7 linked regions of the Mus musculus genome follow. The protein of the gene in region 1 binds, or shares a complex with, the protein of each later gene. Links are inferred from orthologs where the notes say so. Each region holds a gene or a part of one and is shown in the gene's direction. Other genes may lie near its edges. The genes, in order: Taf8, Taf4, Taf5, Taf11, Taf13, Taf7 and Taf10.

What was found.
Region 2: Taf8 (region 1) and Taf4 share a complex: the UniProt entries of both Homo sapiens proteins name them as parts of the TFIID basal transcription factor complex. The link is inferred for Mus musculus from reciprocal best matches to the Homo sapiens genes TAF8 and TAF4.
Region 3: Taf8 (region 1) and Taf5 share a complex: the UniProt entries of both Homo sapiens proteins name them as parts of the TFIID basal transcription factor complex. The link is inferred for Mus musculus from reciprocal best matches to the Homo sapiens genes TAF8 and TAF5.
Region 4: Taf8 (region 1) and Taf11 share a complex: the UniProt entries of both Homo sapiens proteins name them as parts of the TFIID basal transcription factor complex. The link is inferred for Mus musculus from reciprocal best matches to the Homo sapiens genes TAF8 and TAF11.
Region 5: Taf8 (region 1) and Taf13 share a complex: the UniProt entries of both Homo sapiens proteins name them as parts of the TFIID basal transcription factor complex. The link is inferred for Mus musculus from reciprocal best matches to the Homo sapiens genes TAF8 and TAF13.
Region 6: Taf8 (region 1) and Taf7 share a complex: the UniProt entries of both Homo sapiens proteins name them as parts of the TFIID basal transcription factor complex. The link is inferred for Mus musculus from reciprocal best matches to the Homo sapiens genes TAF8 and TAF7.
Region 7: the proteins of Taf8 (region 1) and Taf10 are in contact, whole or in part, in a crystal structure (PDB 4WV4), measured with the Homo sapiens proteins. The link is inferred for Mus musculus from reciprocal best matches to the Homo sapiens genes TAF8 and TAF10. Residues at the interface, in NP_612639.2 of Homo sapiens: Arg33, Thr36, Leu37, Val40, Ser43, Leu44, Leu45, Ala48, Gly49, Phe50, Glu51, Ser52, Ala53, Glu54, Ala56, Ser57, Thr60, Leu61, Met64, Leu65, Gln66, Tyr68, Ile69, Ser70, Ile72, Gly73, Arg74, Ala76, Lys77, Cys80; in NP_006275.1 of Homo sapiens: Pro115, Leu116, Phe119, Leu120, Leu123, Tyr126, Thr127, Thr129, Ile130, Pro131, Val134, Thr135, Tyr137, Tyr138, Leu139, Ala142, Gly143, Phe144, Glu145, Ser147, Asp148, Arg150, Ile151, Leu154, Ile155, Leu157, Ala158, Ala159, Gln160, Lys161.

Annotation. Positions count from the first base shown.
Region 1 is NC_000083.6:47,492,292-47,495,791, reverse strand, and holds part of Taf8 (transcription initiation factor TFIID subunit 8), read left to right. Parts: intron 1-1,302; coding exon 1,303-1,450; intron 1,451-2,087; coding exon 2,088-2,230; exon of another isoform or gene 2,231-3,500. UniProt on the Homo sapiens protein: The TFIID basal transcription factor complex plays a major role in the initiation of RNA polymerase II (Pol II)-dependent transcription.
Region 2 is NC_000068.7:179,935,147-179,938,646, reverse strand, and holds part of Taf4 (transcription initiation factor TFIID subunit 4), read left to right. Parts: intron 1-116; coding exon 117-236; intron 237-2,635; coding exon 2,636-2,755; intron 2,756-3,495; coding exon 3,496-3,500. UniProt on the Homo sapiens protein: The TFIID basal transcription factor complex plays a major role in the initiation of RNA polymerase II (Pol II)-dependent transcription.
Region 3 is NC_000085.6:47,070,748-47,074,247, forward strand, and holds part of Taf5 (transcription initiation factor TFIID subunit 5), read left to right. Parts: intron 1-233; coding exon 234-471; intron 472-3,500. UniProt on the Homo sapiens protein: The TFIID basal transcription factor complex plays a major role in the initiation of RNA polymerase II (Pol II)-dependent transcription.
Region 4 is NC_000083.6:27,904,945-27,909,193, reverse strand, and holds the start of Taf11 (transcription initiation factor TFIID subunit 11), read left to right. Parts: upstream 1-1,449; 5' UTR 1,450-1,522; coding exon 1,523-1,693; intron 1,694-3,783; coding exon 3,784-3,932; exon of another isoform or gene 3,933-4,013; intron 4,014-4,249. UniProt on the Homo sapiens protein: The TFIID basal transcription factor complex plays a major role in the initiation of RNA polymerase II (Pol II)-dependent transcription.
Region 5 is NC_000069.6:108,570,416-108,574,498, forward strand, and holds the start of Taf13 (transcription initiation factor TFIID subunit 13), read left to right. Parts: upstream 1-1,283; 5' UTR 1,284-1,306; coding exon 1,307-1,333; intron 1,334-2,464; coding exon 2,465-2,543; intron 2,544-4,083. UniProt on the Homo sapiens protein: The TFIID basal transcription factor complex plays a major role in the initiation of RNA polymerase II (Pol II)-dependent transcription.
Region 6 is NC_000084.6:37,641,405-37,645,666, reverse strand, and holds the start of Taf7 (transcription initiation factor TFIID subunit 7), read left to right. Parts: upstream 1-1,462; 5' UTR 1,463-1,722; intron 1,723-2,134; 5' UTR 2,135-2,154; coding exon 2,155-3,180; 3' UTR 3,181-4,262. UniProt on the Homo sapiens protein: The TFIID basal transcription factor complex plays a major role in the initiation of RNA polymerase II (Pol II)-dependent transcription.
Region 7 is NC_000073.6:105,742,394-105,745,806, reverse strand, and holds Taf10 (transcription initiation factor TFIID subunit 10), read left to right. Parts: upstream 1-1,468; 5' UTR 1,469-1,488; coding exon 1,489-1,720; intron 1,721-1,822; coding exon 1,823-1,977; intron 1,978-2,314; coding exon 2,315-2,379; intron 2,380-2,466; coding exon 2,467-2,581; intron 2,582-2,743; coding exon 2,744-2,833; 3' UTR 2,834-2,913; downstream 2,914-3,413. Other genes in the region: Ilk (integrin-linked protein kinase), read right to left, coding at 3,145-3,294. UniProt on the Homo sapiens protein: The TFIID basal transcription factor complex plays a major role in the initiation of RNA polymerase II (Pol II)-dependent transcription.

The DNA of each region.
Region 1 (3,500 bases):
TTGCTGAGATTTGAACTCAGGACCTTTGGAAGAGCAGTCAGTGCTCTTACCTGCTGAGCCATCTCCCCAGCCCCCCACTGTAGCTTCTTTACACAACAGGAAAGGGCATCGTATCCCATTACAGATGGTTGTGAGCCACCATGTGGCTGCTGGGAATCGAACTGGGGACCTCTGGAAGAGCAGTCAGTGCTCTTCTGCTGAGCCATCTCTCCAGCCCCATATAGGAGGTTTTTGCCTGCATGTGTGTCTATGCACCACATGTGTGCTGGTGCCTGAAGAAATGGTACCAGCCTTCATGTAGGTATTGGGAATCAAACCGGGGTCCTTTGTAAGAACAAGTGCTTTTAACCCCTAAGCCAGCTCTCCAGCCCTCGAAACATCTTTAGAAGTTTAAAACCTGCCTTTCTGTCAGGAGGAGCTGGTTTTGGTCCTCTCTGCCACTGCATTGTAAAATACGTTGAGGTCCTTCTCATCTTACTGGATTCCGAATATCTCTCTGAGATGCTCAGCAAGGGGCTAGCATGCCAGAGTCTCCTGTCCTTGGCTCTCTCAGTTCTGCTTACAATTACAGCATCAGTCTGGTTTTCTCTCCTTGTTTAATATTTACACTTATTTCCTTTATCTGTGTGGGTGGGCGCTCATGCACAGTGTGTGGCTTGCATGGATGGGAGGCAGTCAGAGGGGGTGAGGGAGTTGCCTCCGCTTTGAGCCATGTCCTGCTGACAGCTCAGGTGCTCAGGCGTGGTGAGCGAACGCCTTAACCTGCTGAATCTCACCCTCAACCTGTATTTCCCTTCCCTCCCTCTCCCTCGTCCCCCTCTCTGCGTCCCTCCCTCTCCTAGAGCAGGCTGGCCTTGGCCTCACTGATACCTGTCTGGATATGCCACCAGGGCCAGTATTCTGTGCTTCCAAGGGAAGTCTTTTGGACCAGTGCGTCTGTTTGGAGAGGGTGGACTTAAGACAAGGGGATGGTACTGCATGCAGATGCACATGGGCCACCACTCATACACTGTAAGGTTCCAAGTTACTCTGGTGGCATCGAGGTTCCTCTTAGTGCTCCTTGAGGGGTCCAAGCCGTCTTTGAGGATCTGTGTCCTACACCTAAAGCTAGCTGCCATGGAAGCCAAGCATAGACACAGTCAACTATGTAGTAAATACTTGCATTTTTTTAATGAATGTTTGTATACTGAGATGGTCCTCTGTTGTCTGCTGTCCTCGGAAGGACATAGCTGCAGCAGGTCAGGGCCTGAGGAGAGCTGAAGGGGGTGGGAGCTCAGCCTGGTATCTCTGTTCTTCTCCTAGACATACCGTGAGCCAGTGTCTGACTACCAGATCCTTCGGGAGAAGGCCGCATCTCAGAGACGAGACGTGGAGCGAGCACTCACCCGCTTCATGGCCAAGACAGGCGAGACCCAGAGTCTTTTCAAGGATGATGTCAGCACTTTTCCTTGTGAGAGCCACCCCTCTGAACCCTGTTGTTTGAGATAATCACACCGTCTTTCCTTGCTCTCAGTGAGGTGTGGAGAGATGAGCATGCCTTTGTGGCTTTCTCTAGTGCACTTTATTCTTCAGCTCTATGGCTCCTTCCTCCGTATCCCAAGAGCCTGTTCCTACCCGAGGATTCCCAAGCAGAAAGCCTCTCCTATGTTGTCTGCAGTGAGTTTAGGTTAGTTCACGGTGGCTGAGGCCTCAGCAGCAGAGAAGTGTGGAAGTGGTGTCTACAGCCAGTTGCCCATCACTGTTCTTTCTTTCATGTCACAGGAGGCTTTGCTGACTGTCTCACTTACCTCTAGGGGACCGTGTGTGGTGTAAATCTGAGTGGGGAGATTGGCACATTTATTCAGTAAGCACCCACTCAGTGCTTGTTAGGTGCCTGGCTCTGCAGTCACTGGGGACAAAGATCAGCAGGTGCTAACTAGCCCCTCCCACAGCACCTCAGCCAGCCCTTCCAGACCCGTGAGTTAGTAACTCTTACAGAGGCATAGGGAAAGGGAAATTCCTAGCTCAAGGTCATGGCAACTGGGCAGCACTCAAACCTGGCTCCCTCTGGCTACTTGACAGACTCGAGTCTTTCTTCCACTTCCCAGTGATCGCTGCCAGACCGTTCACCATCCCCTACCTCACGGCCTTGCTTCCTTCTGAGCTGGAGATACAGCAGATGGAAGAGACCGACTCCTCGGAGCAGGAGGAGCAAACAGATACAGAGAACAACGCTCTTCATATCAGCACGGTGGGTCCTCCCCTTCTGCCTGCCTCACAGCAATCCCAAAACAGCCTGTCCCACATCCTGCCCCTGCCCCTAGGAACTGAACAGGGCCTTCCCCAGGTCTCTGGCTGGCTGTTACAAGCTTGCATGATGGGCTGTGTGTCCAGTCTCCATCATGAGACACACCTCCTGGGGAGTCACACATTCAGCAGATGGTGAACGAGCACTGTAAGGTCCAGACCCTGGTCCTGGTCTGAGGAACTAGTGTGGAGCAAGACAGATAAAGCCCCGCCTTCAGGAACTAAAGAGACTAGAGATGGAGCTGTGGAGGTGGTGGGGGATTACAGGTGACATTTGGGTAAAGACCTGAAGAGACTAACGCCTGCCCTGCTCATCTCTGGAGTTTCCAGGCAGGGGACAGAGCACATGCAGGGCCAGCCTGAGGTAGAGGGAGCTAACTCCTGGTACCTCCTTCTGTGTTAGACTGCAGACTCACACTTCCATACTACAAAGTACAATAAAAGACTGTTACTGGCACTTGTTACTATTCTGGTAGCCTGCAAAATGTAATCGTGTTAGAATCCTGGTCCTGCCTCTGCCTGCTCTGTGCTGGGATTATAACCCAGTCACATCTCACTCTGACCAGTTTAAACTGCCCCCTTGTGTCCTGATGTGAGGTGTCTCTCACGCCCTTGAGCGTAAGGAGCGAGGTGTTTAGAGCCAGTGCTGTTCTGTTCTGTTCTCTTCTGTCGTGTGAACTGGCTCTCGTGCAGGCAGCCTAGAAGTTTAACCTTTTCCTCTCTTATGAGAAATCTTAGCAATCATGTACTCAGTAAACATGGGTTGGCAGTGAGCATGTGTCTGCCCGGGATACAGCAGTGACCCCAGTATATAAAACCTCTGCCCCCCCTTGAAAAACCTTAAAAAAAAAACAAACAAAACAAGCAAAAACAAAAAACCCCTCTGCTCCCGAGAGCCTGTGAAATCATCCCTTACACGTAACTCAAGACGAAACGGTTCGCGGTGAGGATGGAGCCTTTGCTTCCGATAACAGCACACCCAGGGAGGACCAAGCAGAGGCTTGAAGGAGAGAGGAGAGCCGAACCATCACTGCCGTCAAGGGCCAGAGCAACATCAGTGGTTGGGATGGAAAGACAGGGAAGGGAAGAGGAAGGGAGGGCTGCTGGGATGGGCCCGCTGCTTCAGGAGCTGGGAGCAGAGTTGCAGAGGAGCACCGAGCCAGGGAGGGACACTTGCCAACTTCTGCAAGCATCGTTGATGGCTACGATGACGG
Region 2 (3,500 bases), on another chromosome or scaffold:
AGTGCAGTGGTGTATTTTTAAGAGTCTGTGTATACGCATGTGCACACATACATGTGCACAGGTGTAGGTACTACTTACGGTAGCTCATTTTAGATGATTTTTAACTTATTTTCCAGGCTCCAGGAACACCTATTATTGCACGGCAGGTGACCCCAACTACCATAATTAAGCAAGTGTCTCAGGCCCAGACGACGGTACAGCCCACTACAACCCTACAGCGATCTCCCGGGGTACAGGTAAGAGGATGCAGCCTAGTGCATCAGTAGGGATGCATGGCTGACAATGCATGCTTTTGCTTCGATGTAAACACTAGGCTTTAGGGTACCAGGTTGAATTTGAGGATGCAGGGGGTCAATGAAGAAAGTGATTTTTCTGTGTCTGAATGCAGGCTACATCTTTTCCTTATTTAGCATTGGCAGCATTCAAAAGCTCTTTATAAAATGTAATTAGGAACGTCACCTCATTAATATTTGACTCAGAGCATCTTTGAGGAGGGAGTCTGTGCTGAGGAGAGTTTGTGTCTGTGCTGTGGCCCCATTACATGCTCATGGACGGTGCTACTAGTGTGTGTGCAAGGTGTCCTCTCAACTTCCTGTGGCAAATTTGTAGATGAGCTAGGGAGGGGAGAGTGGGGGAGGGGCATTCTCCCTAGCCTTGCTTTCCTAGTGTCAGTGCTCCAGGGAGCAGCAGGGGAGTTACCTGCAGACCCTGGCCTTACCTGATCAACCTGTGCAGCTTCTAGCGTATAAAGCCAAGGGGAGCTTCCGTGCCAGGGGCTCCTCCTTGCAGAGGCTGAAGCAGATGTTAGGCGTGGTGGAAAGGACTGGTTAGGGAGGGCATAACATGTTTGCAGAGATGTACTTGGTGAAGACACATCTGATCAGGGAAACACTTGTAGGGAAGATGTCATTGGCTGGGGAGGCAAACATTGGTTAGGGAAGCTCACTCTCTGGGCACTCATTTGGGAGTAGGTGGGAAGCAAAGAGCCTCAAAGGCTCCTGATGTTGAGTTTGGAGCAGTCATACAGTACAGGGCTTTGAGCTCTAACCACGTTGGATTCGTGCTCACTCATACATGATCTTAGCTGAAGTGTTCCTGATTAGCTGCACCTCGTCCCAGTGGAGCCTGAACTGAGTGAGGGCGGTCCACACGGGGGCTTCTCTGAACTTTTCTGAACTCAGCTCCAACTTTTCTGAGTTCAGCTCCATTTTCTTCAGTAGCTGTGGAGAGCAAGAATATCTTGGAGAACGGTTCTGTGAGTCAGGAGAGAGGCCTGTGTGTTTCAGAAGCTGGAGTCTGGGAGACCTGCGGTTTCCTGAGGGGAACTTGTAGTGCTGCCTGTGCCTGACTCCAGCGTCTGCTTCTCTGAGGAGGAGGAAGAGGCTCTAGAAGCTACTGAAGTGCTTGGTAAATTGTGTGTCACGTTTTAATGGTGACAAATGCTTTGAGGTTAGTGGACAGTTTACAGTCAGGGTGAGTGTGTCCCTTGCCATAGCTGTCAGCTGGAGTGAAGGAAAGATGGCAAGAAGGGTCTGAGTCCTGCTGTCCCTGGCTTGTTGAGTCAACTCTTAGTTTGTTTTTGCATATTATCTTCACATGTTTTGGTTTGGTGGGCAATACGTGCTTATCATACAGAGACAATTATCACCCCTGAATCTGTTGCCAGCTGCAGGGTAACTTGGGGGCCAAGAGGCCTGGAGGTAGCTTAGTACTTGTACAGCTCTCTCATAAGCACCTGTGGCTGGGATCCTCCAAGGCTTTCTCTAAGGGGGCTGAAGATTTGCCTAAAGCTGCTCTAGAGCTCTCCTTGGTGTGGGTGTGAGATGTCACACTGCTCCCTGCTTTCAGATGAAGGGAGGGGACAGTGTTTAATAAACTGGAGTGAGGAAATGTGGGCAGCTAAATTTGTAAATTGGAGAGGTAATAATGTAAAAACCGGTAAATATTTCATTGTGATTATTCAAGAATAGAGAAATCTTAGGAAAGAGACTAAGGGTCAGTGGTTTGGAGAGTCTGAGCCTGTTGACATCTAAGTGCCCATTTGCGTTGCAAATGTTTTATGTTCGGTCAAGGAGTACCTTCCCACAGCTGGGCCAGTGCCTGTGACCCAGCTCTTATACCTGTGCCTCTGCATGCTGTGGCTTCTCGTCAGGCCTTACTTTTGGAAAGCAGAGCTCGTTAGTGCAGGTACTTGTGGGGAGTGGAGGCCTTTCCCTTGTCTTGGTGGCCTGTACGGACTCTGGCAGATGCTATGTGCTGGGAGGTCACAATTGCTTTCTAGCCAGGGCTCTATGAACAGATTAAAGGGTTCTCAGGAGGAGTGTCTGAGATGACAGCTCATTGTGTATCCAGTCCTCTGTGCTTGTCTCTGTGGTAGCCGTTAGTCAGTGTGACAGATTCTGGACAGTGACAGGTTCAAGCCCCTCAGGTTTATTGTAGATACAAGCATACCTCCATGTGTCTCTGTGGGCCTCAGGTGCGGGGCCAGGGATGCCCTTGGCCACCTCACATGGCTGCAGGAAGGGTGCCTACCTGGCCCTTGTTGAGCCATTTGCTCCCTACGTTTTCAGAAGCTGTTTTACTTTTGGGCTTGTGCTGCTGTTGCGATGCATTCACCTGTGTTTTGACCTTCTAGCCTCAGCTGGTTCTGGGTGGCTCCGCACAGCCAGCCTCACTTGGAACAGCCACAGCTGTTCAGACAGGGACACCTCAACGAACAGTCCCTGGGGCCAGCACCACCTCTACAGCTGCCACGGTAAGAACTCCCTTTGAGACGCCTATGGGCAAAGCCATTGGTATTAGTGGGGAAATGGAGCTGGTATATACAGGGGCTTGAGAATATTTTGGGGCCCACAAGCCAACCAAGAGCAGTGGTGCATTGAAGGGACCCACGTGAGAGCTTGGGTCTGTCTTCCCCTTATGGGGTGACCTGCACATGCTGGCCTCTGAGGAATGGTAGGAAAGGGCCCTGAGCGTCCTACTTGGGATCTAGGACCCTACAGAGACCTGTGGAAGCCACATATATGTAGCTGCTGAGCACCTGTGGTCTGGGTGTCTGTCTGTCTATCTGTCTGTCTGTGTTTGTCTTCACTACTTTTCCTTTATGTACCTGGAGTTTTAGAGAAGCTGGGACCCTATTTTGCAACTTCTCTTTTTGTATTCTTTGCCAAGTACTTTTAACCATTTCCAGGAGCTGCCTGGGACTTTGTGTGCTTGTGCACATTTAGGCAAGCAGCAGCCCCTGTCCCGACGTAAGGGCAGTGTCTTGGTGGATGCAGCCTTCCCTTAAAAGGGCTGGTTGAGAGACGCAGACTTGGTGGCCTTCAGAGTGGCTGATTGCCCTTCAGAGAAGATTATGGCTCATGCAAGAAGTAGTGTGGTTTTGAAGGAAGTTGAGATGCTGAGTTTACATTTTTCAGACCTGTACACATTTCACTGCAGTGGGGTCCTGTGGGGAAATCTCCTGTAACTTACACCTGTTTTATTTTAATACAGGAAAC
Region 3 (3,500 bases), on another chromosome or scaffold:
AACTATTATGGCTTGTCTGCCTGCTAGCCTCATCACAGCCACACATATACACAAAATAAGCAAATGTAATACAAAACTAAAAAAGGAAAAGATGCGTGGTTGTGTTGCGGAAGAGAAGTAGAGAGGACAGGGACAATTCTGAGAAACAGTCGTCCCTGGGGCCTTAGCAAAACCTCATCTGCTTGGTGCAATTAGATCATTTTCTTAAAAGTTGTCATTCATTTTTTAAACAGTTGCAAGTGTAGCTGTGGAAGACCAGCCAGACGTCAGTGCTGTCTTGTCGGCCTACAACCAACAAGGAGACCCTACAATGTATGAAGAATACTACAGTGGACTGAAACACTTCATTGAATGTTCTCTGGACTGCCATCGAGCAGAGTTATCCCAACTCTTTTATCCTCTGTTTGTACATATGTACTTGGAGCTAGTTTATAATCAACATGAAAATGAAGCAAAATCATTCTTTGAGAAGTATGTGAATCTTAACGTCTTTATCTATCTATGTATGTATAAGCACACACATCTGTAACCACACAAATGTAAATCAGAAGGACAGGTGCCTTGGGCAGCATGAACCTGACACACAGGCAGGATTGATCCTCCAGAGGAAACAGTCCTGAAACGAGAACTGAGGAAGGGCTGCTAGGAATTAGCCAGTGGAGGAGAAGAGCATACCTGTAACTACAGAGACGGAAAGAAGCCCATAGCAGCTGAGGCCAGTAATGTGCAGGGCTGTGGTACAGCGTTCAGTTGGGAGCAGCAGGCAGGTTCTTGCACTGCGTTGAGGATCTGTGTCATAGGAATAATAGGGACTTACACTGGATAAGACTAGATTTGATTGAGAGTCACTGAAAAACTCAATGATTATGAATAAAAACTGGATTCTGAGAGCAGTAGGAACTGTGTTAGGATTAGATTAGAAGATGACTAACAACGCAAACAAGAGGCTTAAGTAAAACGTCAGTTTTAGGGCTGATAGCTAAGTCCTCAGTCATCGGCCAGTGTTCTTGTCAGGAGCTTCTCTTCCAGGCACAAGCTGGTCCTCTGTTGGACAGCAGTCCAAACGCTGTTCTAGTCAGCAAGAAAGGCACACGTTCCTGGGAGATGCTCACACTTCTTTTTCTAACTTTTTATCAGTGACCATCCCTAGCGACAAATGTAGGAAATGCCATCTTTCCTGCGATCTTCCCCGAGATGTCTGTCCCCAGCTAATAGTCAGGTGTTTTGTTACGGAGGAAGGGAGTTAAAATGAGCATTTGGGCACAGTGAGGCATCTCTGCTATAGATGTCATTAGAGGATCATTCATTAATTGCAGTCTTTTTTGTCCTTTTCCCTCCCCCCCCCCCCCCCCCCAAGAGCTGAGGACCAAACCCAGGGCCTTGTGCTTGCTAGGCAAGCACTCTACCACTGAGCTAAATCCCCAACCCCTTTTGTCCTTTTCCTAAAACAGGATCTTAGTGTGTAGTCCTGCCTAGCCTGGAACTTACTGTGTAGACCAGGCTGACCTCAAACTTGCAGAGATCTGTTGGTTTCTCCCTTCTGAGTGCTAGGGTTATAGGCATGGTCTCTACCTCCCCGCCCCCCGCCCACCCCAGAGTATGCGTTTTAAAAGGCTTTTTTTTTGCAGAGGCAAACACACGGTGAGGGACAGGACTATTGGATGACTAGAGTGAAGTGCTTCTTAATGGTGGTGGCAGTCCTCTTTCCCATAGACACCTAGAAATATGTTGAGGCATGTTTGTTTGTCATAAATACCTGTTGGGGAGGAGGGAAGAATAGTAACTATTCTGGGATGTATAGATAGTCCTACTTAGCAGAGAATTGTCTTGCCCAATATATCAGTAATACCGCTGTTGAGAAACAGTCTGCTGGTGAAGTGAAAGGCAGACTGACCCCACAGTGCAGGGATGGACATTGAGGTGAGACACCATTGCCAATGCAGATTTCTGGGGTGTCCTCTGGAGAAGGACGACTTCCTGACAGAAATCCCCGGAGGAGGATGTGATGTGTCAAGTAGAGGTACTAGTCTGTAGTTCCAGTTCAAGTGAACTTTTAAGTAATTTAAGAATCCACTAAGAACCACTAAGCGCATGTAGCATGGTGGTGCACAACTCTGATCCCGGCACTTAGGAGGCAGAGGCAGGTGGGTCTCTGAGTGAGGTCAGCCTGGTCTACAGCTTGAGTTCCACAGAGAGAAACCTTGTCTTCAAAACAAAACAAAAACAAACGAACAAACAAACAAACCTCAACCTCAAACCAAAAAAAAGAAAAAAAAAAGGTAAAAACCCCCAAAAATCCCCAGTACTTCCAAGACAGGTCTGCCAACAGTCCAGTCTAATGTAATCCCGTTCCCCTATATAACAGCTGAGAGGAGAGGAGCACCTAGAGCCATACATTGGCTTGAAGAGCTCCAACATTAACAAGTATAGGATACAGAAAAGGAAAAGGTGGAGAAACATGGAGAAGTCCCGGAAAGCATTGTTACAGATGCCAAGGGGGCAGGGTTGGGCTGACTGAAGGCAGCGCTTCAGTGCAAGCTACAGAGCTTGAGGTCAGGACTTGTGGATAACAACTCCTGAAAGCTATTATCCACTCTTTATACTCAGATTCCTAATTGAAGGTACTGAAAGCAAACTGTCACTCCCTCCCCTTTCTTTGTCTGATAATAACATTTCTACACTAGAAGCCTTTATTTTAATATATATATGTATTAATTAAAGAGACAGGGTTTTTCTGCATAATAGTCCTGGCTGTACTGGAACTTTCTCTGTAGACCAGGCTGGTCTTGAACTCACTCTGCCTCTTGAGTGCTGGAACTAAAAGCATGTGCCACCACCACCCAGCTTAGAAACTAATTTCTTTTTTTAAGATTTATTTATTTATTTATTTATTATATGTAAGTATACTGTAGCTGTCCTCAGACACTCCAGAAGAGGGAGTCAGATCTCGTTACGGATGGTTGTGAGCCACCATATGGTTGCTGGGATTTGAACTCCTGACCTTCAGAAGAGCAGTCAGGTGCTCTTACCCACTGAGCCATCTCACCAGCCCAACTAATTTCTTTTGTAGTACTGTCATCAGTCTTGCTCCTTCAGTCTCCTGGGATAGCCACCTTTCCATGTAGGAAGATGGGCTGTCATAAAAGGCTCTCTGTTCCCATTACAGACAGTCTGCTAGGACCCCATGCCCAAATGAGGGCAAAACAAGCCAAGACATAAAAACAAAAGTATATTTAAACTATAAGTTATAACCAAGACTGAAGGCTTTATTTAATTGCCTTGGTAGTAGTGAAAATATGAAAGTGCTCATTGTTTAGTACCAGTATTTGTTCTTTAGTTTATCATTATTAAAATATTGATATTTAATATGTCTTAACATAAGTAATTAAAATGTATAGGCTTATAAGAATATATGTTCTGATTATCATTGAGTCTGTGATAAGTACACTGAAGGCATACTATTTTCTATTCCTATGTTTGAAATGTTTTTAATAAAAAAG
Region 4 (4,249 bases), about 20 Mb from region 1:
GGGGAGCCTCGGTGTGCGGAGCCGAGCCTGGCGCAGGCGCGGTCTACGCCTAGCGGACCCGCCCATTCGCCAGGTGGCGGAGATCGGAGGCGGCACGCCTGCAGGAGCTTCCCGAACTGCTCGCCTTCCCAAAGGTTTGGGACCTCATGGCACTGGAAATGCGGTCATTGTTCCTGGCACCGTAGAAACAAAAGAAAAGGGGGTAACGCGTACCTCTGTTTTCAACTCCATTCAAAACGCATAGATTCAATACGGGATAGGCGCGGAGATCTAGAACCAGACTTGAAAAATCCCTCCCTCTGGTGCCTCCTGGAGGGAAGACCTGAGAGTTTTACTTCTGCAGTTAGACTGGCATTGTGGCAACTGCCATTTGTCCCAGCAGTCGAGAAGCAGAAGCCGCTGGCTGCATCGCTGTGAGTTTAAGGTCAGCCTGATCTACAAAGCAAGTTACGGGCTAGCCAAGGCTACATAGTGAGACCCTCTCTCCAGAAAAAAAAAGGTGGGGGGGGGGGAGGGAGTACGGGGGTGGCTGGAGAGGTGGTTCCCTGTTAAGAGCACTGGTTGCTCTGCCAGAGAATCTAGGTTTGATTCCCATCACTTGTGGCGCCTCACAGCAGTCTGTAACTCCAGCTCCAGCGGATGTAACACCTTTTGCTGGCCTCCCAGGGTACCACGAACGCATGTGGAGCTCAGACTTACATGCAAAACACCCATACACATGAAAAAAAAATGTAAGAACTCTTAACAGACACTATCCTCGCACTCCATCCTACTAACTCTTCAGAAAAAGTCAGAAGAGACCTTCTTTCTCTTAGTTGTCATGAGAGACATTTTAAAAGTCAGATTTGGGGAACCATTTCCAATTTTTAATATTGGTGGACTAAGGAGGGAAATGTAATTGGGAAAGGATGACTTTTTTTTTTTTTTCTGTTTTTCCCTCACAACACTAGCCTGTTCTGACGCGAGGCAGGTGGCCAATATTTGAAGTGTTAAATGAAACCATTGGATACTTTCTGTTGGCGTTAGAGATGCTTGCGAAACAGAAGGGAAACTTCCCTGGTGGACACAAGCCGGTGGTCTTAGTTCTTTGGGAAATCCGAGGTTAGGTCGCTGCCGGAAGCTGCTCAGTCCACGGCAACAACAAGCAGCGGGACCGAGTTCTCTCCCTGTTCCCCGACTTTGGGCTGAAGGAGTAAAGTTAAAGAAGGGTTAATTGGCATTACATTCCCAGGAAGGAGAAGAAAAAGAAGGAAAAAGAAGTCTCTCGGGAAACGAATTACGCTCTTTCAAAAACGCTTCTGCCCTGAAGCGGAGGATCTAGACTTCTACATTTCTTTCACATTAAAACAAATTCCGTTTATATGAATCCCCTGGGCAACCAACGCGCTTCTGGAAGTGACCCCTCCCAGGATCCGTGGGCGTGACGTCATCGCGGCGCGACGACGAGCCCTCAGCTCCAGCTCCGCTCCACAGCTCCTTCTCCCGGCGGTGCTGCCATCGCCTCTGACCCCCTGCTCTCGCGATGGACAACCTCGGGGAGTCGCCCACAGACAAAGGCGGGGAGCCAGGGGAGTCAGAGGAGACGAGGGCTACTCCTGGGGCTTTGGTGGCAGCCGACACTGAGGGAATCCCGGAGGAAACCGACAGGGATGGAGACGCGGACTTGAAAGAAGCCGCGGCGGAGGAAAGCGAGGTAGGTGGAAGTTGGTGGATAACGCTGCAGGACTACCCGGGTGCGCTCCTGACTGCTTTCTTCCAAAGCCAGGGAACTAGAATTCCCCCACGACTGTTTGTGAGTCTGCAACCTTGAGGGGCAGGAGAGGGAACGGGAAGGTGTAGGTGCTGTTAGAGCCCTATTCAGGCCTGCTTGTACTCCAGCTCCTTTTGGGGGAAGGCTGAGGAGGAAGGTGGAGGAGACAAGAAGATAAAAGACGAGGAGAAAATGGTTAAGGACAAATAAATTTGAAAATCTGAAGCACAAAGGTTAGAAACACGCGTAGATCAATAGTGGAAAGTAAGTTAGAAAGGCTGTCAGATAGATAATGCCTTCTCTCCCCCTCTCCATATTTCTGTATGAGTTTAAATATGAATTCCTTCCTTCCTTTCTCTCTTTCTCTCTCTCCCTCTCTTTCTTTCTTCTCCTCCTCCTCCTTCTTCTTTCTCCTCCTCCTTCTCCTTCTCTTCTTCCCCTTCTTCCTCTTCTTCCTCCTCCTCCTTCGAGACAGGGTAGCCCTGGCTAACCTGGAACTCAGGTTCTATAGACCACACTGGCTTCGAATTCAGAGATCCCCTTGCCTCTGACTTCCAAGTGTTAGTATCAAAGGCATGTGCCACCACTTCCCGACATACCTTTCATTTTAAAGGAACCATTAAATCTCATTAATGAGTTTTGATGTATTACGATTTTATAGTAAGTTGGCTAGGACAGAGTTTGGATCACTCTTGTGAATAAAACGGTTAAGTGTTTATGTGAGGAGAAATGTAAATAGTAAACATCTTGAAGACGTTTTTAGCTTAGGGCAGGCGAAATTGTTCAGCAGGTCAGGGTGCTTGATCCCCAGAACCCACGTTAAGGTAGAAGCGGACTATCTGCACAAAGTTGTCCACTTACAAACCCACACACATGAATGTCCGTAGTAACTGAAAAATTGTGGGTTTTTAAGAATATTTTTTATATGAATGTTTTGCCTGTGTATTTTTGTTTGCCGTGTAATGTGCCTGGCACATTCCCTGTAAAAGTCAGAAGAAGGCATTAGATCCCCTGAAACTAGAGTTGCTAATGACTGCGAGCTGAAATGTGGGTGTTGGTAAATGGAACCTAGATACTCTGCAAGAACAGCCAATGCTCTTAACCTCTGAGCTTTCTGCAGTTTTTAGTTTAAACTCAATATAATGGTACAAGTCTATAATTTCCACAAGCTGAAAATCCAAAATGAGACTTTGTCTTAAATTACAAAAGGAAAAAAAAAAAAGCTTCCGAACTGGGCATGGTGGTGCACAGCTTTAAGCCTAGCATTCTGGAGGCAGAGGCAGGTGGACCTCTTGAGTACAAGGCAGCCTGGACTACTACAGAGAGAGTTCAAGGATAGCCAGGGCTATGTATAGAAACTCTGTCTCAAATTATTTAAAAAAATAAAATAAATAAAATTTGTATTCTAGTATTGGGAAAGATCTCGTGATCCAGTAGAGAAAGGATCAGAAGAACAGAGCTCTGTTCAGTGTGGAGCTCCCAAGACACACATGGAAGGGACTGTACTGACATCTATGGAGTGAGGTCAGAAGGGTGGGCCCGAGGGAGAGTGGCTGTTTGGATCCTTGGCATTTTCCTCGTAATGTGTAAACAGATGCAGGACCTCTGTATGATCATGGCTAGGCTGGGAAATGGATTATTCATTTTCTTTTTTGTTTTTTGTTTGTTTGTTTGGTTGGTTGGTTTTTCAAGATAGGGTTTCTCTGTGTAGTCCTGGCTGTCCTGAAACTCACTTTGTAGACCAGGCTGGCCTCGAACTCAGAAATCCACCTGCCTCTACCTCCCAAGTGCTGGGATTAAAGGCATGCGCCACCACCACCCAGCGGATTATTTATTTTCTTTCCCAGCTGGAGTATAATCTTCCTTGGAGAGATGGATTGCCTCTTATGCAGATGGTATAGGCAGTGCCTAGAACTAGATAGCTACTGCGTAGACAGAGTTGCTGGGCTGGAAAGAGGAGGGTGTTTGCTGGCCTTTCCCAAACCTGAGAAGTGTGCCGAGTACATAATAAGAGTTTCTGTCCATCTCTCCAGCTCAAGAGTCAGGATGTCTCAGATGTAACAGCAGCCGAGAGGGAAAACTCGTCCTTACTTACTCCTGCAGCCAAAAAGCTGAAACTAGACATTAAGGACAAGAAGGAGAAGAAGCAGAAGGTGGACGAAGATGAGATTCAGAAGATGCAGTGAGTCACAGAGGTCCCCAGTCCAGGCTCTAACTCCACTCTGTACATTCATGCTTACTGGCTTTTTTGTGTGCTTTTGAGGTAAGGGCTCATGAGACTTAAGCCCTTAGCTCAAAGGTTTCAACTCCTGATCTTCCTGCCTCAGCCTACTTAGTACTGAGATCATAGGCATGAGCTGCTATGCCTGGATATAGTTTCAGGCCAGCAAGATGCCAAGGAAAGGTGCTCACCACTGCTCGCCACCGAACCTAATGACCAGGGTTTAATCCTGGGAAACCGCGTGGTAGAAGAAGGAATGAGGGCCTGGAAACTGGCCT
Region 5 (4,083 bases), on another chromosome or scaffold:
GAACTCACTCTGTAGACCAGGCTGGCCTTGAACTCAGAAATCCGCCTGCCTCTGCCTCCCAAGTGCTGGGACAAAAAGCATGGACCACCACTGCCGAGCTTTGGTTTTCTTGTTTTGACTATGTAGCCCTGGCTGGCCTCTAACTCAAAGAGATCTTCTGGCTTCTGCCTCCCAAGGCAGGGATTAAAGGCGAGTGCCACTACACTTAGCTCTTTCATAATTTTAAAATATTTTCTTATTATTGTGTATGGAAGCCAGAGGACAACCTTGCAGACTCTGTCTTCTCACCTTTCACTTTTTATACAGGTCCCAGGGATTGAACCTGAGCCTTAGGCTTATTCCGCTAGAGCTTTTATTGACTGAACCATTTCTCTAGCACATCTTTTGTAATTTAAAAAAAAAAAAAAGAAGAAGAAGCAAAAAACGGCCGGGCAGTGGTGGCGCACGCCTTTAGTCCCACCACTTGGGAGGCAGAGGCAAGCGGATTTCTGAGAACGAGGCCGGCCTGATCTACAGAGTGAGTTCCAGGATAGCCAGGGCTACACAGAGATACCCTGTCTTGAAAAAACCAAAAAAAAAAAAAAAAAAAAGCGCAAAACAACCTTCCAACCCAAACTACATATATATATTGCGTATTAACGGAGGCAGGAAAGATTGCTCCGTGGTTAAGAGTATTGGCTGCTTTTCAAGAGACTTGAGTTTGATTCCTAGCCCCTATATAGCGGTTCACAATCGTCTATCTCTAGTTCCAGGAAATCGGTTGCTCTATTTTGGCTTCTTTGGTGCTGCACACACATGGTACACATACTTGCCGGCAAAACACCTATTTACATAAAAGAAAGTAGATATATAATTATATAATAATATAGATACTATATATAATATCATGGGGCTTGTGTACTTGAGTGGATCAGCCCCAGAGGCAAAAAGTCATCCTATTTTTACAGGCATTTGTGAGCCTCCGTAAGTATGCACAAATTTATCACTTATGTTTTCTGAGACATGGGCTCATGAAACTTGAGCTGATCTCGAACTCGAAGCCCTCTTGCCTCTGCCTGCCAAGTGCAGAGATTTCCCGGCGTAGTATACCACGCCTGGCTTCTTTGTAATTTTTAATTCCTCCTTCAGGATTCCACACGTAAGAGCACGTCACTGACTTCCAGCCAATCCCAAGGCCGGGGTTGGGTAGGAGAATGAACGCGCACGCCTCTCTGCGCAACGCTGGCCAGGCCGGAAGTGACGTACGTATCTTATAAAACTCGCCAGCCGCCGGTGGGCGGGTTCAGAAGGCTGGCGAGCAGCTAGCATGGCAGATGAGGAGGAAGACCCCACCGTGAGTGAGCGCCTGTCTCAGCCTGGTTCCTCACTCCTTTCGGATCACTAGCGGAGGCAGAGTCTGACCCGCTTGTGCCTTAGGGATTCCCGCCGAGAGTCCGGGGGCTCCGCGGTGTTTTCCTTTTTTGGTTTACCTTAGTCAGTGCGTGGGACAAGACGGGAAGGAAGAGTAGAAAGGGTCTCTCTTTGACCTGGATCTTCCCGACACTAAGACATCTAGAGGGTCATAGGAGATCAAAGCTGATTAAAGCGGAACCAGCAGCCCAGATGCTGACAAAACTAGTGAAGATAGCGGAGAAACGATGAACTAAAGACAGGAAGCTTGGGATCCAAATTCTCCTTTGGCATCGGTTTTCTTGTGAGGTAGAGTCCAGCCCAGTTAAGGAAAGTTCTTAGCCCTTTATCAGTTGCTTCCGATGACAGCAGAGAGTAGATTTTAAACTACCAGGTTTTTACAGTAGTCTTGCTTAGCAGTGTGACAACTAAATTGGCTAAAACCAAACCCAGAACCTGAGGTCGTTAGAACTTTACACACGCACGGTTGTAAGGTTGTTAGCAGCCGTAATAAAAGCCTTCTTGCACGACTTGAGAATTGGACTAGGGCTTATGAGCCCTTTGGTGCTAAATTTTCGTGGTTTTGTGCAGTTTGCTTTAGCTTCTCACTTTCGAAAATGAAAAAGGGTCACTGGGCGTGGTGGCGCACACCTTTAATCCCAGCACTCAGGAGCAGAGGCAAGCGGATCTCCGTGAGTTCAGGCAGACACGGGCACATAGTGAGACCACTTTGTCTCAAAAAAAAAAAAAAAAAAAGTGTAGAGAGATAGCTTTAGTGCTTAGGAGCATTTGCTGTCACATCTGGCAACCTACAGCGATTAGACCTAGTTTGGCCTCTATGGGCAACAGCAGGCACATTTATGTAGGCACACAATACACATAAATAATAAATGCCTTTAAAAAAAAAGATGAAAAGAGTGCAGGAGGTGTAGCTCAGTGGTCAAGCATCTGTTTAGCATCGTGAGCTCGTGGGTTCAATTCACAGCACTCCACAAAGAGGGCGAGCAGGAGGAGACTCGAGGGAATATCACGTGCACTGCAATCATTTGCCATGTCCGTGTTTTAAAATTTCTAGTTTGAGGAGGAGAATGAAGAAATTGGAGGAGGAGCGGAAGGTGGCCAGGGGAAGAGAAAGAGACTTTTCTCGAAAGAATGTAAGTTGTACTTTCTAGTGTTTTTATTACAGGTGGTGAAAGCTTTTGAACATGTCTTTTCAGAGTATATTGTTCTGCATATGTTTGTTTATAGGGACAGTGTTCTCAGAGTTGCCTATAAGGTTGCCTGTTTTTATTCTTGGTGTTTGTTTGTTTGTTTGTTTGTTTTAAAGATAGGCTCTGTATAGCCAAGGCTATACTGGTGCTTACTGTTTAGCCCATGCTAGCCTTGGTTTGGTGGTAGTCCTGCTTTAGCCTCTCAAGTCCTGGGATTGCAGGTGTGCATCCCATGGTCAGTATAAGTCTCTCTCATGTCTACTAATTCTCTCTGTGTGACATAAAATAATGAATGTGATCACCTCTGCCCTCCTCCTTGAGGCAGGGTTTTTTTGTTTTGTTTGTTTTTGTTTTTCTTTTCCTTTTTTGAGGCTTGGTTTTTCTGTGTAGCCCTGGCTGTCCTAGAACTCTTTCTGGAGTTTAGAATAGATCAAGATCTGCTAGTCTTGAACTCACAGAGATGTGCCTGCCTGCCTCTGCCTCCTGGGTGCTGGGATTAAAGCTGTGAACCACCACCACCCAGCTGAGGCAGGGTTTTTAGATCCCAGCATGATTTCAAACTTGGTATGCATATGCGTATAACCTTGAACTTGCAAGAACCTTGCAAGAACCTTGAACTTCTGCTCTCCTATCTGTTTCCCTGGCTCTAGATGTACAGGCATATGCCATGGCTCCCAGTTGACATTTTGAACGTTGTATCCCTCTTGTGTCCACCTTTCAAATGATGTAAGTTGAGGCTTTGGACTAAGGCATAGCTCAGGGCAAGAAGGTGGTGAAGTGTGCTGTGGAGATGACAGTGCACTAGCCTTCCATGGTGCTCCTTAAACAGACAGGTAGCCCTTGGGGCAGCGCAGGGTGAGCGGTGTCCACTTGTTGTGCCCATACTAATTCCTGAAAGGCCCATGAGACTGCACTCTCCATCCCTTCTCCCAGGCTCCTTGGCTGAGCCTTGGGAAGTACAGCGGCAGAGATTTATAAATGCCTGAGTACAGTAGGATTGAAAAATTCTAGAAACTGCAAGATCAGCCTTTAACTCTCTAAATCTTTTTTGATCCCAGCTCTTGGGAGAGATAGGGATGGGAGAATTTGAGTTCAGGGTCTTCCTCATTGAGTTTGAAGGCAACTTCGGCTGTATCTTACAACCATAACAGAAATCCTCACTAGTACCTTCCAGTTTCGTTCAAGTCTGACCACTTCCCATTCTGTCTCACTGATGCTAGTTACGTGATTTGTGTGTGGTTTTACTCCTTATGTGGACATATGAAAACGACCCTTACACTAAAGTGCTCTAGGAATGGTATTCACCCTGCTGCTTGTCCAAACCTTTAGTTCAGTTTCAACTGCTCTACTTTTGTGATGACAAAAATTTGGAATCTTCGCAGGCTTCTCCCACTGACTTAATAGAATCTTCATGTCTCTTCTATTTTTGCTGGGGTTTTTTTTGTTTGTTTGTTTTGTTTTTGTTTTTTGTTTTGGACAGGGT
Region 6 (4,262 bases), on another chromosome or scaffold:
CACTACTGACTCCATGATGAAAGTACCATTCATCACATAGACAGTGTGATGGGTATTCCTGCCTGTCAAGGTGACTATATCTGGAATGAACCACAATCCAGAAATGGAGGGCACACCAATGATTCAGGTCTTGAGGCTGGAATCTACATGAAGATCTTGAGGCATAGTGGCCATAAAAAGCTTAGGTCCATGCAAGGTAGTATACACCTTTAATCCCAGGAGACTGAGGCAAGCAGATCTCTTATTTCAAAGCCAGATTTGGACAAATCAGGTTCCAGATCCATGAGTGGTGGTCCACACCTTTAATCTGGGCAGAACACTCTGCTGCAGGACATTGGAAGAAGGAAGACTCACTCTTTGCCTGCTTGCACTTATTTGCCAGCACATCTGCTGCTACCTACGTCTTCAGGATACAGAAGACCAGGTGAAACAAAGTAGCCTCTTGGGACTTCCCATTTAGAGCTGCCCATTGTTGGGTGGCTGGACTACAGACTGCAAATCATTACAATAAATTCCCTTAATATATAGGCATTCCACAAGTTCTGTGACCCTAGAGAACCCTAACTAATACAGACAGTATCAATGAGCAAAATAAATAATAAAGACCTAATTTATCAAACTTCATAGTTCTGGGAAAGTCTCTAAATGTACCAGCCTTGCTTTTTGGCTTCTGTAGGTCAGTCTCTAGCTTATGGTTCTTGTAATAAAAGTATGCCAATGCAGGACATTTGTTTGTGCTTAAAAGCTCACCATGACAAAGTCTCAGGGCCAACTGGGATCCAGAACACCCAGTGTAGTCACTGGCTAGTTAATATTTGTTGGCTTAAACCTGTGTCTGAACAGCGTTCTTTGGTGGACATTCCACAACAAAATCAGACCGTTTGTGTTTCAGACAATTCTGTTCTAAATGAACCTGCGTCATCATAAAAACATTTGTTTACAGTTATAGCTATCTGACATATTACCAAAATATCGTATCATACATATCACACCTGGTCCTCTGGATCCAAAAACACAAATGAAGCCAAAGGCTTAGTTCCTTTCAAGGCAATAAGCATGATTTTTCGCGTTAGAGAGTGAACAGCAATACTGTATCATTTCACTGTTTGGGCCACTTTTACTTTGTGTTGTTTCCAATGTTTTAGCGGAGGCCGACTGGGTACGCCCTGGGAAGTAAAGATGCTTTCTGCAGGGACGACCTTTATCTCTGGTAATCACTCTAGAAACTGTCCCGACCCGCGACTTCGTAAAGTGCTGTCTTACGGGGTAAGTTTATGTTTTACTTTTTTGGAATCTCCATCTTGCATTTCCAAAGCAAAGCTTTTCTGGAAACAGCCTATACAGGGCAAGTTCTCACGAGAAGACGTAGTCACGGAACGACGTAATTACGAAGTGCGCCTGCGCGCGCCGCTAGTACTTCCGGAAGAGCGGCGGCCAGCCCCTCCGTGTCTGCTTCCGGTCTGTGACGTAGCGCCGCGTCTGCTTCCGCTCTGACGGAGCACTTTCGTTTTCTTCAGTGAGAGGAGACGTGGGAAAGTTGTCTCCGGTGTTCGGTTCTCTGAGAGGGAGCTTTCGCGCCGCGGGTCCTTAGCCGTCTCATTGTTAGCGCATAGGTCGCCCTGCCGGGCGGCCGAGAACGCCAAGAAACCGGAAGGCGGACGCACCGCTCCCTGCTGCTTTGCTCAAGCCGCGAAAAGCTAAGTTCACAGTCGCTGGTGAACTGTAAGTACCGGAGTCGAAGAGTTCGTTCACTCCCTTTACTTATTCTTTTTCTTTAATACTTTTATTTTATATCTTATTGGAGAGAATCTGTGGATCGGGGTTGTCTGCCAGACTAGACTGACGGTCTGTGCCTAAAACCCCTCAGTCGCTGCCGTTTCTTTTGCTGTTCAGGTTATCAGCAGCGTCTTTTAGAGGCTCTAATATGATACTGCATCTAGCAGACGAGTGAGTTTAACAGGGACAGTGCCAAAGTTTAAAAGTTTAAAGACTAGACTTGGGACTTAATTAAAAAATTAAGACAAAATAGGCACTAGCTTGCGTTCCACTTTTGTTGCTGTTTTCCTTGGAACTTGGTAATTACGAATTTAAAATTCTACTTAATGACATTGCCCCCCCCCTTTAATTGTTGTAGGAGCTCACAAGGAATTAAAGATGAGTAAGAACAAAGACGATGCGCCTCATGAGCTAGAGAGCCAGTTTATCTTACGACTGCCCCCAGAATATGCCGCTACGGTGAGGAGGGCAGTGCAGTCTGGGCATGTCAACCTGAAAGACAAACTGAGCATTGAGTTACACCCTGATGGGCGTCACGGCATTGTCAGAGTGGATCGAGTGCCCTTGGCTGCAAAATTGGTCGATTTGCCTTGTGTTACGGAAAGCTTGAAAACCATCGATAAGAAAACCTTTTACAAGACAGCTGATATCTCTCAGATGCTTGTAGCCACAGTAGATGGTGACCTATACCCTCCTGTGGAGGAGGCAGCTGCCACTGCTGATCCCAAAGCAAACAAGAAAAAAGATAAGGACAAAGAGAAAAAGTTTGTTTGGAACCATGGAATTACTCTACCTCTAAAAAATGTCAGAAAGAGACGGTTCCGGAAGACAGCAAAGAAGAAGTACATTGAATCTCCGGATGTGGAAAAAGAAGTCAAGCGTCTGCTGAGTACAGATGCAGAAGCTGTCAGTACTCGTTGGGAGATAATTGCTGAAGATGAAACAAAGGAGACAGAAAATCAAGGCCTGGACATCTCTTCTCCAGGAATGTCTGGCCACAGGCAAGGCCATGACTCACTAGAGCATGATGAGCTTCGAGAGATATTCAATGACCTCAGCAGCAGCAGTGAAGATGAAGAAGACGTAAACATCCTTGACACTGAGGAAGATCTGGAGAGACAGCTACAAGACAAGCTAAATGAATCCGACGAGCAACACCAAGAAAATGAAGGAACCAATCAGTTGGTTATGGGAATTCAGAAGCAGATAGATAACATGAAAGGCAAGCTCCAAGAAACCCAAGACAGGGCAAAGCGCCAGGAAGATCTCATTATGAAGGTAGAAAACCTGGCTCTCAAGAACAGGTTTCAGGCAGTTCTGGATGAGCTCAAACAAAAAGAAGACCGCGAAAAGGAGCAGCTTAGCTCTTTGCAGGAAGAGCTGGAATCACTTCTGGAGAAGTGAGCTTGTTGACTTTAGTCCTTAGACTAGTCAGCTCAAGAAAAAATTATTTTCAGAGTAAGGTCTTGAAATACTTTTTTTTTCTTTGAAATGTTCTTATTCCCTGAGTTTTGTTGAAAATTTTTTGATTGTTTTTCAGAACTATGGTGGTGGGTTTTCATTCTTAAGAAAATAGGATTACATAGACAGGTTTGTTGTAGGGAAGATATAAGAAAGATGAGTGAAATGAAAACACTTGAACTTTTAATCACAGGACTTTATTACAATTTGTTTCCTAAAAGTTTCTAGTCCTTTTTTTTTTTTTTTTTGGTGCTAAGATCAGTAATAAGCTAGCCTACAGGCAGTGAAGTTAATTTCTTTTAAAAGAAATATATTTTTTTTTACCTCAGCAAGTTTCCATGTTACAGAAATGCAAGTTTTTCATAAAGGTTGTTTCTTATACAATAAAAGCTACTAATTTTCACTGTTTATGATGTTGTTCTATGAATACTGAAAGTTGAGGTGGTTCATGGAGTTTAATGACTGAATGGTGTAGATCAAGATAAATCCTGTTCTTTTGTTTTTAGGAAAAGGAAAGCACCAGGTAAGGAAATGGAGAAATTCATTGTTGCATTATATATTAAGGTTCAGGTCCACCCACTTCATCTGGAGGTTTATGAACACTGGGTCTAGAGCCTTCTTAAACTATCCTAGTTTTTATGGATGGATATCTGTATCTTTTTCTTAAGCACTAAGGTTATCTGTAAAATATTGGAAGCAGTTATCAGATAAACTATTCCACATGCTTAGATTAAGATTATATTTTAACTATTGCCAATTTAACTGCTACAATTATTTAATAGACTGATGTTTATTCATATTGTTTCATTAGTATTTCCCAGTATGAAAACCTGTGTCCTGGTCTGGGATTTTAAAATTTCATATACAGAGAAAAATTCTGTGTGTTTTTTTAAATACTAAAAAGCTGCCCCTAGGCAAACTAAGTATGAATTCAGAATGGAAGTCATCTGGCCCCTTTCATTGAGAACTTGCCTTCTGTATTGCTGTTGACGGCTGCCAGAGCCTCTGAAGCCCTAACTAGTCTG
Region 7 (3,413 bases), on another chromosome or scaffold:
CAAACATCTAGCTTCTGTGAACCTGGGTGTTTGTTCTTTCCATCAGTTTCCCATTTATCCTTTTTCCTCAGTGACCCCCCTCTGACCACACTAATCAGCCCCCTTTTCTGCTGACTCCAGGGATGCTGTGTTCATTGTTCCATTCTTAGTTTCTTGCTCTTATCATTTTATTATCATCCCTTGACAGATCACTGACATCTATACCCACAGTGAGTGATACCTCAAATGTGAGATACCTCGTTACTTCATCTCCCTCCAGCCCAGACCTAAACTATTTCATCTCTTAATCTATGATATAATGCCTCTTTCAAACAAGCCAGAAACCTATAACTCTTAACTCTCATCTTTTTCACCTCCTTACTAACTTCAAAAAGTTTTCTTGACTGCCTCTCAAGTATATCTTTATCGGCTAGTGTGGTGATGCACACCTTTAATCCCAGCACTCAGGAGACAGAGGCCAGGCAAGTCTCTGAGTTTGAGGCCATCCTGGTCTATATAAAGAGTTCCAGACAAGCCAGGCCTACATAGTCAGACCATGTCTCAAAAATACACATATGTGCACACACACACATGCACAAAATACTGCATTATCTTTGAGCCCATGTTCTTTTTTCTTCTAAACTGCAGGAAGCACTTGGGGAGAGGAAAGGCTTCCGAAGCCCCTCATCTTCCAAACCAAGCAGTCTATGTATTTGTGCAAACCCTTCAAAGATTACTGGGTAAAAGTCAGAGACATTGAAACTTGCCTTCAAAATCGGGAAATAAACATTGCTAATGTCTCACACTTGGAATTAAGCAATGAATGTTAGTTTCCCTTTCTTCTTTGCACTGCACCTACATGTAGCTGGGAAACAATCATACAGTATTGAAATTGTCAGTTTGTTTGCCTTCCTTTTCCAGACAGTCGGTGCTAGTGAACTAGAATCTGATTCTTAACTTTGTATTCCTAGGTCCCAGCCCAAATAGAAATTAAATAAATGACTGTTTAAAAAAAAAGTCTGTTGTATTGTAAATGTGTTTCACACAAGACTTTGGCATGCTATTTCTTCAGGGTAAAACACCCATCTCTACATTTACAGAGGTACTCTCCTAAGCCCGTTGTGGGTGGGAGGGACACACATCAAATCCACTGCAACCCTTAAAAGACCATGAAAGGGAACTACAAAGAATGCATGAAGACCGTCAGGAGACTGGTAATGAAGTGTCTGGCAGATGAGTCCCCAAGCCAGGTCGTTGAACGAACCCAGATAAAGTATTCAGTCCTGGATGCTCTGCGGCCCCACCCGGGCCGGGGTGGAACCGCAGGGTGGCAGCCACATCTCACACAGCTCGCCTCCGCCTTGAAGTCTACACCTCATCCACTAACAGCCAACCTAAGGTCGCCCGCGGCAGCTTAGAGTGGTGGGCGGGAACTGTAACGTCACGCAGCGTGCGCCTGGGCGAGCGGAAGCGGAAGCGGCTCTGTTCGCCGCCTTTCCCACCGGCCCCATGAGCTGCAGCGGCTCCGGCGCGGACCCCGAGGCGGCGACCGCCTGTGCCGCCTCGGTCGCGGGTCCGGCACCCCTGGTGTCGGCTCCCGCTGCGCTGCCCACTAGCACGGCCGCGGAGAGCAAGGCCAGCCCCGCGGGGACAGCAGGGGGCCCCGTGGCTGGAGTCGCCACTGCGGGCACGGGCCCCGTGGCGGCACGGGCAGGGGAGCCGGCAGAGCGGCGCGGGCCAGGTGAGGGAGGGCCGGGCCGGGTGAGGGAGGAGGGCATCTCGGACTAGGTGCCGGGGCAGGGGAACCCTGCGCCTCTCACCTGTGCTGTTGATTCTCCTTCAGCTTCGGTGGCAGCGGGCGGCGCGGCTCCCCCGGAGGGGGCAATGTCTAACGGGGTTTACGCCCTACCGAGCGCGGCCAACGGAGAAGTGAAGCCCGTAGTGTCCAGCACACCTCTAGTGGACTTCTTGATGCAGTTGGAGGATTACACACCTACGGTGCGCTTCCCACCTGAACAAGGCCACCTGGCTCGCTGTCAATGCCTTTGAACCACACCTTCGTTCTTTCAAGCTTTCTCTGCTATGAAGCCATCTCTTTTGTTGTTTGTTTTTTCGCGACAGGGTTTCTCTGTGTAGCCCTGGCTGTCCTGGAACTCACTTTGTAGACCAGGCTGGCTTTGAACTCAGAAATCCGCCTGCCTCTGCCTCCCAGGTGCTGGGATTAAAGGCGTGTGCCACCACTGCCTGGCATGAAGCTATCTCTTTAGTCCTCCGTCCCAGCCAGCGCATCAATAGGCAGATCTAACACTGATGGCTGTTTAATTTGATTTTTCAGATCCCAGATGCAGTGACTGGTTACTACCTGAACCGCGCTGGCTTTGAAGCTTCAGACCCACGCATGTGAGTAAACTCGGAGCAGGTTAGACTGTTGAGTGCTAGGTGGAGTTTGCTAAATATTCTCATTACTACCACCCTCTTCCTCTCTAGAATTCGGCTCATCTCACTAGCTGCCCAGAAATTCATCTCAGATATTGCCAATGATGCCCTACAGCACTGCAAAATGAAGGGCACAGCCTCTGGCAGCTCCCGGAGCAAGAGCAAGGTGTGAGAGGCTCACCTTCCACTGCAGTACAGGCCTAACTTATCCTGAAAGCCTTTTGGGGAAGCAGAATCCTAGGGGAGGTATTGGGCCTGCTCAGGGTCACCCACAAAGGATTGGAGTCTGCACTTGTGCTCAGCTGGTGGTCTTCCCTCTTTCCCCCAGGATCGCAAGTACACCCTAACCATGGAGGACTTGACCCCTGCCCTCAGCGAGTATGGCATCAATGTGAAGAAGCCGCACTACTTCACCTGAGCCACGCAACCCAGATGTATTTGTCTTTCCCTCTGTCCCCACACGAGCCTGTTTTCATAATAAACTTTATTGTGACAGGCGGGGCTGATCCCTCCCATGTTGGGAGACATCATGTGGCAAGTGACAAAGCTCTGAGCCCAGCCCCTTTTGGGGCTACAGTGGTAGGGATGGGAGCAGGGAACAAGTCCCATAACTGGGGTAGTACCATGATTAGAGACAGGGGAGGCAACCAGAGGTCTTTAACTTTGGAGAAGTGTACTCCCCCAGCCATGTTTTGACACTTCTGGAGTTTGGGCAAGGACCTGAAGGTCCTACTTGTCCTGCATCTTCTCCAAGATAGGCACAATCATGTCAAACTTGGGTCGCTTTGCAGGGTCTTCATTCATGCAAATCTTCATGAGCTTACACACATGGGGGGAAATACCTGGTGGGATGGTAGGCCGAAGGCCTTCCAGTGCCACCTGCAAATTACAAGGAATAAGGTGAGCTTCAGAATTTGAGTTCATCATATGGGTAAAAGCCTTTGATCCTTGAATGGTAAGATTACTATTTATCTGTATAAACTGCTGGAAGCGCTTAC